Linked DNA regions of Drosophila melanogaster. The protein of the gene in region 2 interacts with the protein of the main gene of each other region in a biochemical or structural test. Each region holds a gene or a part of one and is shown on either strand. Other genes may lie near its edges. The genes, in order: Gug and svp.

Evidence for each region.
Region 1: the proteins of svp (region 2) and Gug form a complex in vitro, tested with the Drosophila melanogaster proteins (one study listed by BioGRID).

What each region holds. Positions count from the first base shown.
Region 1 is NT_037436.4:8,448,358-8,453,174, forward strand, and holds the start of Gug (grunge), read left to right. Parts: upstream 1-1,564; 5' UTR 1,565-2,100; intron 2,101-2,290; exon of another isoform or gene 2,291-2,330; intron 2,331-3,417; 5' UTR 3,418-3,771; intron 3,772-4,817. Other genes in the region: CG6983 (uncharacterized protein), read right to left, coding at 792-828.
Region 2 is NT_033777.3:12,279,183-12,284,357, reverse strand, and holds the start of svp (seven up), read right to left. Parts: upstream 3,249-5,175; 5' UTR 2,764-3,248; coding exon 2,109-2,763; intron 1-2,108. UniProt on the Drosophila melanogaster protein: Receptor that is required in photoreceptors R1, R3, R4 and R6 during eye development; generation of the ganglion mother cell-2 (GMC-2) fate in the nb7-3 lineage, coinciding with the transition in the expression of HB to KR in the neuroblasts (NBs).

The DNA.
Region 1 (4,817 bases), on a different chromosome or scaffold from region 2:
TCATAAATTAAAATTAATCTAAGACAATTTAAGCAGGCTGCAACAGGCTGATAAAAACTCGGGTCGAGCGCCGTTTGAAAAGCGATAAGCGAAACCCATTGAAGTCACGCGAATGGCGACAAAGTCGGCGAAATGGTAAAAATGGAAAATGGAAAACCATCGATTGCGGTGGCCAACAAAAGTGGGCGGTAGGTGGTCGAAATTGGCTTAGCTATGGCCATGAACAAATATTATTTTTAATATTGCGACAGAAAAGCAGGAAGAAGAGGTCAAAGAACAACAATTGGCGGAAATCGAATGTGTGAAGTGAACGGGAAGGAAATGGCCAAAACACTCGTGCACACATACACTTACTCTTACGCTTACTCACTCAAAGTTACACTTTTAATGTATCACATATATAATCAGACTTATTTCCCCCACTTTTTTTCAGTGCATTCCCAGCTGCATGTTGGTTTCTGCGCTAAGAAGTGCAGCTGTCCTGATTTGCAGAAAAGGTCAGCAAACAACAAGCGATTCCCTCGAGTGGCCTGACTTGCCTAAATTTAGCTCACTCTTTTCATTCTTTCTGTTCCAATTAAACCGAATTAATCGCCAAAATCCACGCGCAATTACCCCCACTTACCCTTTTTTTACCATCAACCAAAGAATCTACACCCCCCACCGCCGCCTTTTCCTAATGATATTTTAACGCACTTGAGCTGGTTTCTATGCAAATATTGGGCGCTACTTAATGGCCAAACAAATGAGTTGGGCAAATAACATCGGGAATCGGAGTTACTAATTTTTACCTTGATGCTCCACATTTTCAATGGACTCGTCGCACATTTTGAGGATCCGTAGATTCGCAGCTCTTGATTTGTTTTGGTTTTTTTTTGGTGGTAGTGTTAAATGCCAGCGATTTTGCGAACCCTCAGAATTTAAACAGACGACGCGCTTCTTTAGAATTTCCCGATTTTCGCAGCGAGGTGATTTAAATCAGAATCCAAAAACGACGAAAAACAAAATAAACAATAGTGGTGGTGCGTCGGTAGATTTCTTGTGGCTATCGATGTTAGGCGCAGAGTCGATAGTCGCTTCTGCCGAAATGGCGCTTTTGTTCACTGTTCTAACAGAAATGTTAATTTACAATAGGGATATTTTACAATCAGTTGGATTTTTAAAAATTAAATATAAGTTTGTGGAATCGAATTTTTCGCCTATTAGGACGAAAATTAAGCAATTTATTTTTAAAGTAAGCCCACAATATGCTGCGACAAACTGTTAATATAGATCGACTGTTAACCAATTAAACTCCAACTTTCATCGTATTAAATTTCATAGAAAATCTGAAACACAGCTGTTAGCCATATATTAATGTTTAAATATATATCATTTATTTTTTTAACATATGCTTTAGAAGTTTTTAAGTCTTGTTTAAACAAATAAATTACCATTTCAAAAGACAAACTTACGAGTGCTCACCAACGAAAGCTGTTGGCTACACAACAATTGCTGGCTTATTTAGCACATGACCACCAGCAATGCTGCCACTCTGCCACCGCCAGCCTTGCCAGACCCCGCAAAGTATATATTTTTACAAAATGGTGGCTTCTTCGCGGAGAAATTCGTAGTGGCGATTTTTAACAAAAAGCACGCATCTTGGCCAGCCAATTATTGTAATTTGCTGGCGAAAACATTCGCAACCACGCTGGCTGCGCCGTGTGGCTGAAAATTCCGCGAAAAAGCAACCGAAAATCGCACAAGAACCCAGTGAAAATAACTGAAAGCGAAGGCAGGCAATAAAAAAAACGCAAGCAAGCAACCAAAGTGCGTGCCTGTGTGTGTGTGTGTTCGAGTGTACGTCTGTGTGCGCTGCTCTCTGTCTGTGCCTGTGTGTGCGAGTGTGCCTCTCTGTCAGTGTGTGTGTGCGCAAAGTGTATGCAAAAAAAGAAGAAGAGAAACGAAGAAGAGCATTAAAAAAAAGCGTACGACGAGTTTCACGCGCGCCCAACAACAAAAACACCAGAAAGCAGCAACAGCAACAACAACAAAATCCAACAACACTTGGCAGCAGCGGCAGCAATAAAAAAAAAAGCAACAACAAGCAAGCAGCGAAACGTAAGGAAAAATCTACAACAAGTGTGCGAAAATTAATTATTACTAAGTGTGTCACTAATTTAATTTGGAATCGCAGTTGCGCAGCGTGCAAATCATTCAAATTTATGTGAAGTCTTTCGGGCAGCAAAAAACAAAAAACAAAAAAATAACGAAAAACAGTAAAACAGAGAAAACAGTGGCGTATCCCCCCCCCCCCCCCCGCAGTTTTTGAAAGGGTGACCGACGGATGGGTGGGTGTTTGAATCCAGTCTATTATGAACTTTTTGGGGTAGAACAATGCAAACACGAACGAAGGCTCAACAAATTTGCTGAAAAGGAATCGCAAGCGCAGCAGCAGCAACAACAAAGCAAAAATCCAAGCGTCAGCAGCACGGGCAGCAACTAAAACAACAAAAACAGGCCAAGCAACAACAGCAGCAACCCACCACCGTTGTTGCCCCTTTGTTATTGTTGTTGTTGTTGTTGTTATCGTCGGCGTCACCACCGACGCGACGCAACGCGACGCTCTTGCGGCCAGCGCACCCACCACCCCCCAAGGATGCTCCTGCCTCGGACTAACCCCATTCCTGTAAAGCCCCCCCCCCCCCACACCGCCCTTCCCTGTTCCTGTGACCGCTCCTGCTGGCCGTGCTTCTTCTTCTTCTTCTTCCACTCAGTCAATTGCTGTTGCTGACGTTGTCGGAAAAATGTGTCTTGTTGCCTTTTTGCTGGCTGATAAATAAGCTAAAATATGTACTTACCCACTATTAATGCTAGAGAAGTGTTTGGAATTGTATTTATTGGCAATAGATTATAAAAAATATCGCTATAACTGGCGTTATTCCCCGTACTAATAGTACTATTGATATGGACTACTACGACTTACTTAGATATGTCATCTTGGTACTAAAGATTTTCTGATAGCTATTGTTATTCAATATTATACAGTCCAAATAGATAGATAGATTGATTATTATTATTACAGATGTTTTGAACATAGGTCTGCCTGGTTTACATTGTTTATAAAATTTAATAAGGAAAGGATCAAAGAATATGGGTCACATTATTATGTAATTAAAAGTTCTCAACTCAAAACCAGGTACATAGGATTTCAACTATGCTATGCAAATAGCTAACGTATAAAATTGCCAAGTTCTATGGCCTCATTTGGCGACTGCTTTTGGTAGTAGTATCGCTAGTGGGGCATTGTTTTTTCGCAGGGCGCTCCTTGCGCCCCAGCTGCTCAATTCTTCTGTTTGGTTCTTTCATTTTCTTTTTCTTTCGCTTAATCATCTCCATCGTCTCGGCTCTCACCTACGTCATCTCTTCGCCTTCCAGCTGTGTTTGTGCAAATTAACCGAAATATACATTTCCGGCTACTCGCTGCCTCCTCGCTGAGCAACAACTACAAAAACAACAACACCAATAACAACAGCAGGAACAACAATATCAAGAACAACAGGAGCAAAGCAACAAGAACCACCACGACCGCCGCCCACCCCCTTTGAAAATCCATCGACACAGCACCACATCACCATCGTCGTCATCATCATCATCATCCTCAGCAACTTGGAGTCTGGAATCTGGAGACGGAGACCGTAGACCGGAGTTACTTTGCCGCCTGCTGCTGGAGAGAGGAGCATCTTCGTGCGGGACGCCTCGACGATACACAACCCCGACTACGGATTCATGGTGAGCCAAGACATCTGTTCGAGCCCGGCGCACACATTTAATTATAATTATTTGTTTGCTTAATTCGATACTTCACGCTGGCCCCCGTCTCATGTGTCACATCCCCTCGATGGGGTTGCTTGTTCATTGTGCCGAAGGGTTTCCACTCGGCTAATGGAGGAAACTATTTTCCAATGGTATCCCAAAGCAATTAGAAAACCGGGGGGCGCGTGCCCCTAATCCGTTGCTTTGCTATTGTCGCTCATATTCGGATTTGTGGTGTTCATTTTGTGGGCTGGTGGTATTTAGGGGGAATTGCGATTAGATCGATGATAAGGCTTACACATACCCTAAACCCACTGAAACAGATCTTTATCGCCGCACTTGTATACTGCTAATGAGTTGCCTTGTAGGCCAATTAGTACACCCTTGTTCGGAATGAAAAAAAAAAGGGTTGACCGGGATCAGACAGTTTAGAAACTCTTTAGCGCATTGTTGGAAAATATTCCACTTGTTAATAACTATATGAATCTATCAAAACTAGTTTTGGTTGTCCTCTATATGTTTATCAATTTAAATAAAGATAATATTGATTAGCTGCCATTTTGTATTTATAGTGTCATCGTTTTATGGCCACATCTAGTTAAATAGATTAATTTGTATTGTAGCTATTGTAGGTCACTTGTTATACAAGCAATATGGTGCAGGATTAAATCAGAGCTAATGAGGGATTACCAGGTCATATGATACGCAATTTTACGCATTGTTCATGGGGGATTTACGGATCTCTTTATCTCTTCCAATGAAGTGCCATGGTTTAACTTGCTTTTAGCCAAGTGAAATTCGAGGCAGTTAGTTCTTGGAAAACGGAGATTGATTTCAAGGAAATTCCCAGACAATTTGCACCGCTTGCCGCCTTGCTTATCTTCGAAACCCACACCCTGCCCATTTCCACATTTCCATTTGCCCGGCACGCCCGCTTATCTGCACCCACCAACCCAAAATCCACGAAGAGTGCGGCGGCGAGGCCATCTGATTAGAGACGCATTAAAAGGCTGGAGTGTTTA
Region 2 (5,175 bases):
CACCACAATGAGAGGACATGGGCAGGAGGATCTTCTGTTCAGCAGGATGGCAAGCATGATGAAGGGGGAAGGGGAATGAGAAGCGGACAACACGCATAAGCTACAATTAATCTTGCAGCTACGAGTACCGCGACTGGCGGGGTGTCTTGGCATAAATTCACATACCTATACCCATACCTATAGCTAGCCGTGTGCCCTGAAACCTGGAAACTGGACATACGGATAGACATACGGACAGAAGGGACCTCCAGACAGACGGACAAGTGAGCACACACACACACGGACACACACGAGTTTAGAGCTCAGACAGCCGAAACGAGTTGCCGCGCAACGGAGTGGTGTGGAGTGGAGTATCTTTCTTTTCTAAGAGCCACGAAAAGTATCTGCACCTCGAAGTGAATCAGCTGAAAGGACGCGACCAGGCACCAGAGTAGCAAACATAAAAAAAAAACCCTGAAAACGCCGGCAATGATATGGGCTCTATGCGCTTTATTATGATTATTCCTACGTTTTATTTCGCCAGCATTTGAGTGAAGCTAAAGCTACAGCTCTGCAGTCTGGGCGATTGCATAGAACAAAATAGATTGCTATCGTGGCAACATCATCAGGCCAACAGGCAACTACATACTATGCCACATGAAGGGATCCGGGGAAACACCTTCAGAATGCAACGAGGCGGTCACAGAGCCGCATATCTTCTGATTGTTGCTCTTGTGGGTTGCGCATGCGTACAAAATGCTCGGTGATTAATAATAATAGCAGCGCCCGCGAACGAACAGTGGGAGCCAACGGAGTGCCAAGTATCTGGGAATCTCTGGTATCATCATACCAATGGCCCACTGTGCCTCTGCCCAGTCATAGTCACTTCTTGGCTCTTAGCTGTGGCTGTGGCAGTGGCTTTGCCTGTGTGCTCCAGTGCCAGAACATTTGAAGAGATACGAGCATGACAAGTTCAACTTCAAGCTGCACTAAATGCCAGAGCGTATGCCAGATCTCCCTCTATCTCTGAATGCAGTTACCCATCTGCCCCGCCTCCCGCCTTCCATTGCCCATCTGCCACCCCTCTTTTCCGGAACTCCAGGTGAGGCTCCCCTTATCCAGAAACCCAGTGAGAGAGACAATAAGAAGGTGGGCGCTTCATTTAGCGGCCGCCGCACAATTTGCATGTTTGCACAACAATTGTTTGGCTTAGGACAAAGCACGGACCGTATTTTATTTAGATAATAATTTTTATCTGACGATAAGGCCGAGAGGCAGTGGGTGCCCAGATCGCAATATATGTATATATATATATATATGGCTATATTCAAGAGCTCTCGTGCTGCGAGCTCTAGTGTAACGGAATGATGGCCGGAGATGCAAAAGTATCTGAGTATCTGGAAAATCATCTGCCAGAACAGGGATTTTTTTTTAGATACTTTATCACCACTTTAGGGGCAATTGCAGCTGTAAAATTTAATTAGACACAATAATATATCAGCAAAAGACAGTAAGCTTATGCGCAAACATAAATCTCGCTGGGGTCAAACCAAACTATATTTTAGATCATAAATGTATTTTTTGCTCGTAAAAACATTTTTACATGATTTGGGGCCCCCGATCAACTAACTAGCTTTTGGGCTCCACGTAGGTTTATTGACTGCCCTGGCCCACAGATATACATTCCAGCTGCATCCCGTCAACTTTTGCATGGCCCTGGGAAGAATTCCCACTGCTCTACCATTCCGCCACACACCCACACCTGGCCGAGGGTTTATTGCCAACTCATCAAACTGCCATAACTCACCGAAACTGTCAAAAATCAGCGGCTGGCAGGCACGCTTTTGTGCTCGCTTTCTATTACGTTGGCCATTTCTGTTTGGTCATCCCCAGTTCGAATCCGAGTACGAAATCAATTGACCCCCAATTGCACCTTGGAGGTGAGATCGCTACTCAGCAATAAAAATTGCCAAGATGTGATGGTCCTCAAGATGGCACCAAATAGATACATTGACATGTATGGCATAAGCACAATTAATGTACTGGTGGAGTGGTAACATCCCTAGCTCACACATTCACTCTAACTGTTTCCCCCCCTATTTGAATATAATTTCTCGCAGTGTACTCACCTTCGCAGGTAAATTGTCCGTAGTGCTTGCCGGAACTCTTGTCGCCGCAGACGACGCACTCGATGTTCTGCTTGCTGTCGATCTGGGATCCACTGTTGCTGCTCTGCGAGTGGGAGCTATTCGCCTGGGAGCTGGGCGTGGTGCTGCCACAGCCCGTGGGCTGTCCCTTGATGCTGGTGAGCATGTCCTGGCCATGGCCCTTGATCAGGGGCAGCATGTCGGAGCCGTGTCCGGGATTGACGCCCGAACCGGAACCCGATCCGGAACCGGAGTGATGGCCACCGGCGGATCCACCATTGGCGCTGGGCAGGCTGCTGGACAGATCCTCCTTGATGCCAGGATGATGGCCGGATCCCGCCTGATTGAGGCTGGGGCAAGAGAGATCCTGCTTGATCACCGCCGACTGCTGGCTGGCCACGCTGCTCGGAGTGGTACCGCCGCCGCCCGTCGCCACGCTGCCGGTGGTGGTGCCCGGTCCGGCGGAGGCGGCGTGCAGGTGACCGCCGAGGGAGGCCGGCGGTTCGTGCCAGGCGCTGTGTGGCGGGACGCCCAGCCCCATCGAGCGGGACAGGCCGATGTCGAAGGCCGACAGCTCCGCGCCGGATTGCGGGCGCGGATTGAAGAAGCCGGGAGCCGTGGACGGGGAGGCGCACATGACGCCGCCGCCGTACACGCTCAGCGAATTGTGCGTAATAATTTTGGCGGCCGGGTCGGAACACGTGGGATAATTGCTGGAATACACTTTGTACGCACTTGGTACGGTTCACACTTTGGTTTCGATAGAGTCCTCGGCTCTAGCTTTTAACTTGTATCCTTTTATTCGTATTTGTCAGCCGCGTTATAATTCTTCTTCTTTATGTTAAAATAAATTTAATATTTTCTTTTAAGCTGCATATGCTGTTAACATTTCAGCTGGCTTCACTAATAAAACACTTGGTTTATTTTTGAATTTTTGAATTTTTTCGATGTTGCTTATTAATTTCCCGCTCGGCGCACACACGAGATATAATATCTTAAAGACTTGAAAATTTTTCAATTTCGGTATCTTTGCGTCATGCGGAGCAGCGAAATCTCAGCTGTTCTCGTAAGGCCTTTTAGAGCCTGACTGGCACAACATTCGTGGCAAAAGGTACACGACCCGACCCGACTCGACTCGACCGTTTCGACCTAACGACACATCACACAAATCTCTCTCCGCTCCCCATACTCAACTCAAACGGGCAGTGGTGCTGGTCTGCTCACTCTCGTTTAGCTGGCATTGCCTTCTAGTTGAGTGAAATCGCCGCTCTCGCTCGCTCGCGTTGGTGGGGCAAGACCTTCGACGCGTTTGGCTGGTTTGCCACCACCACTGAACCACCACCACCAGTGCACCCAGTATACCCACCACCACCACCACTGAACTGAAACAGAGTGGCTGCTCTCTCACTCAACGAAGCACACTCACTCACTCATCCAATCCAACTAGAACCCGTTTGCTCTTATTAGCTCGCTGTTGGGCGCATCTGTTAGATACTTTTACCGTTAAGGCTCTTTATCGCCGGACTTTTCGGTTTCGGGGGTCTCAACTTTTTGCCAATTTGTTTAAAATGAGTCTCCACCCCGAAAAAAGTTTTTCGGCGCTGTTTATCTTTTTGTTGGCTACTCGAATGTTTCTGCTCTGGTTGGCCAACCGCCTTAAAGTGCGTTCTACTTTGTATTTCACCAATTTCAGTGGCGCTTAAAGTCCGATTTCTTATCTGGAGGAAGAGTTTGGCGGCCATAATGCCCGTTCGCGGTTAAATGTTTGCTTTAAAGCTTCTTTTCTATTGGTTGTCAACCAAAGAACATCGAGCTTATCTCTGCTACTCATGAAGGTAGTGCGATGATAGGTGGCAGGATTGTATGTGATGCGAATAGATTACAATATGAAAAAGGTATATGATTGTAAAAAACCAAAAGAAAAACCGTTGCCATTTTTAAAATTATATAATAAAATTTATATATATAACTCATTATAGATCCAGTTGCTTTATTAGTTTTTATCGCATTGCTATTCAACAATAAATAAGCCAATATTTAAAGCGGCCCTTTATTGCTCTAAGCAATCAATAAATAGCTAACAGACTTGCTTTTATATGAATTTTATGTGATTAAATAAATGGGATATACTCAGCTATTGAAAAGTTGTCATTAAAATGTCTGTCAAGAAGCACGTGTTGCAGAGAATATTTATAAAATTTGCATTGCTTCCAGATACCGATTCATAAAATGTGAAGAGCAGTGGCACTCGATACTGACCCCAATGTCGCGCAACGAAAACGCATCGTATTATTAACGCTCAATATACCCGGGGACTGCCCCTAAATGAAAGTTTAGCAGCCGTCGTGGCCAAGTGAAGCCCACTGACTGTCGTAATATAATTATAATAATTTCCCTTGGCTAATTGGATCAGTGCACTGCAGTCCCTGGGCTCCTCGACTTGTACTTTGTTGACTTTGTTTACGTGTCTGGTGGAAATGTGGTTGGGGAAGTGCCAAAACATGAAATCATAACGATAATTGAATTCATTCTTAACGAGGACACCTCGCGCAACCTGATATGTCCATTTGGCGACTGTTACTTCTTGGTTTTTTATTTGAAATTAGCATTTAACTACCGCCCATTTGCACGCAACTAACTTCTGGAGAGTGAAAACTTAAAGGCAATCGCTGGATGCCACGCAACACTGTTGCCACTTCGTTTTTCATTCAAAACGGGTGGTTGGGGAAATGGAAAATATTGGAAAAGTGTCGCTGGCTGCAAAGCCAAGAGTTGCAGGCCAGTCCAAAGGGCCAAATTGTGGCCACCGCACTTTGCACTTCCCCGCCCACCTCTTGCCAACGAAATGTATGAGTGGAGTGGGTGGGCGCAGGGCGTAACGGGCCACGGAGTCTGGCGCCCTCTGTCGGTGGTTATCAAGGGGGTTGGGAAGGCCATGGGAAGGCCAGAGCGAAGTGCAAACGTACAATTGGATGATGAACGATACGCCACCCCGAGTTTGCGTTTGCACTCGAATAAGAGAGAGAGAGAGCCACCTCCAATTGGACTC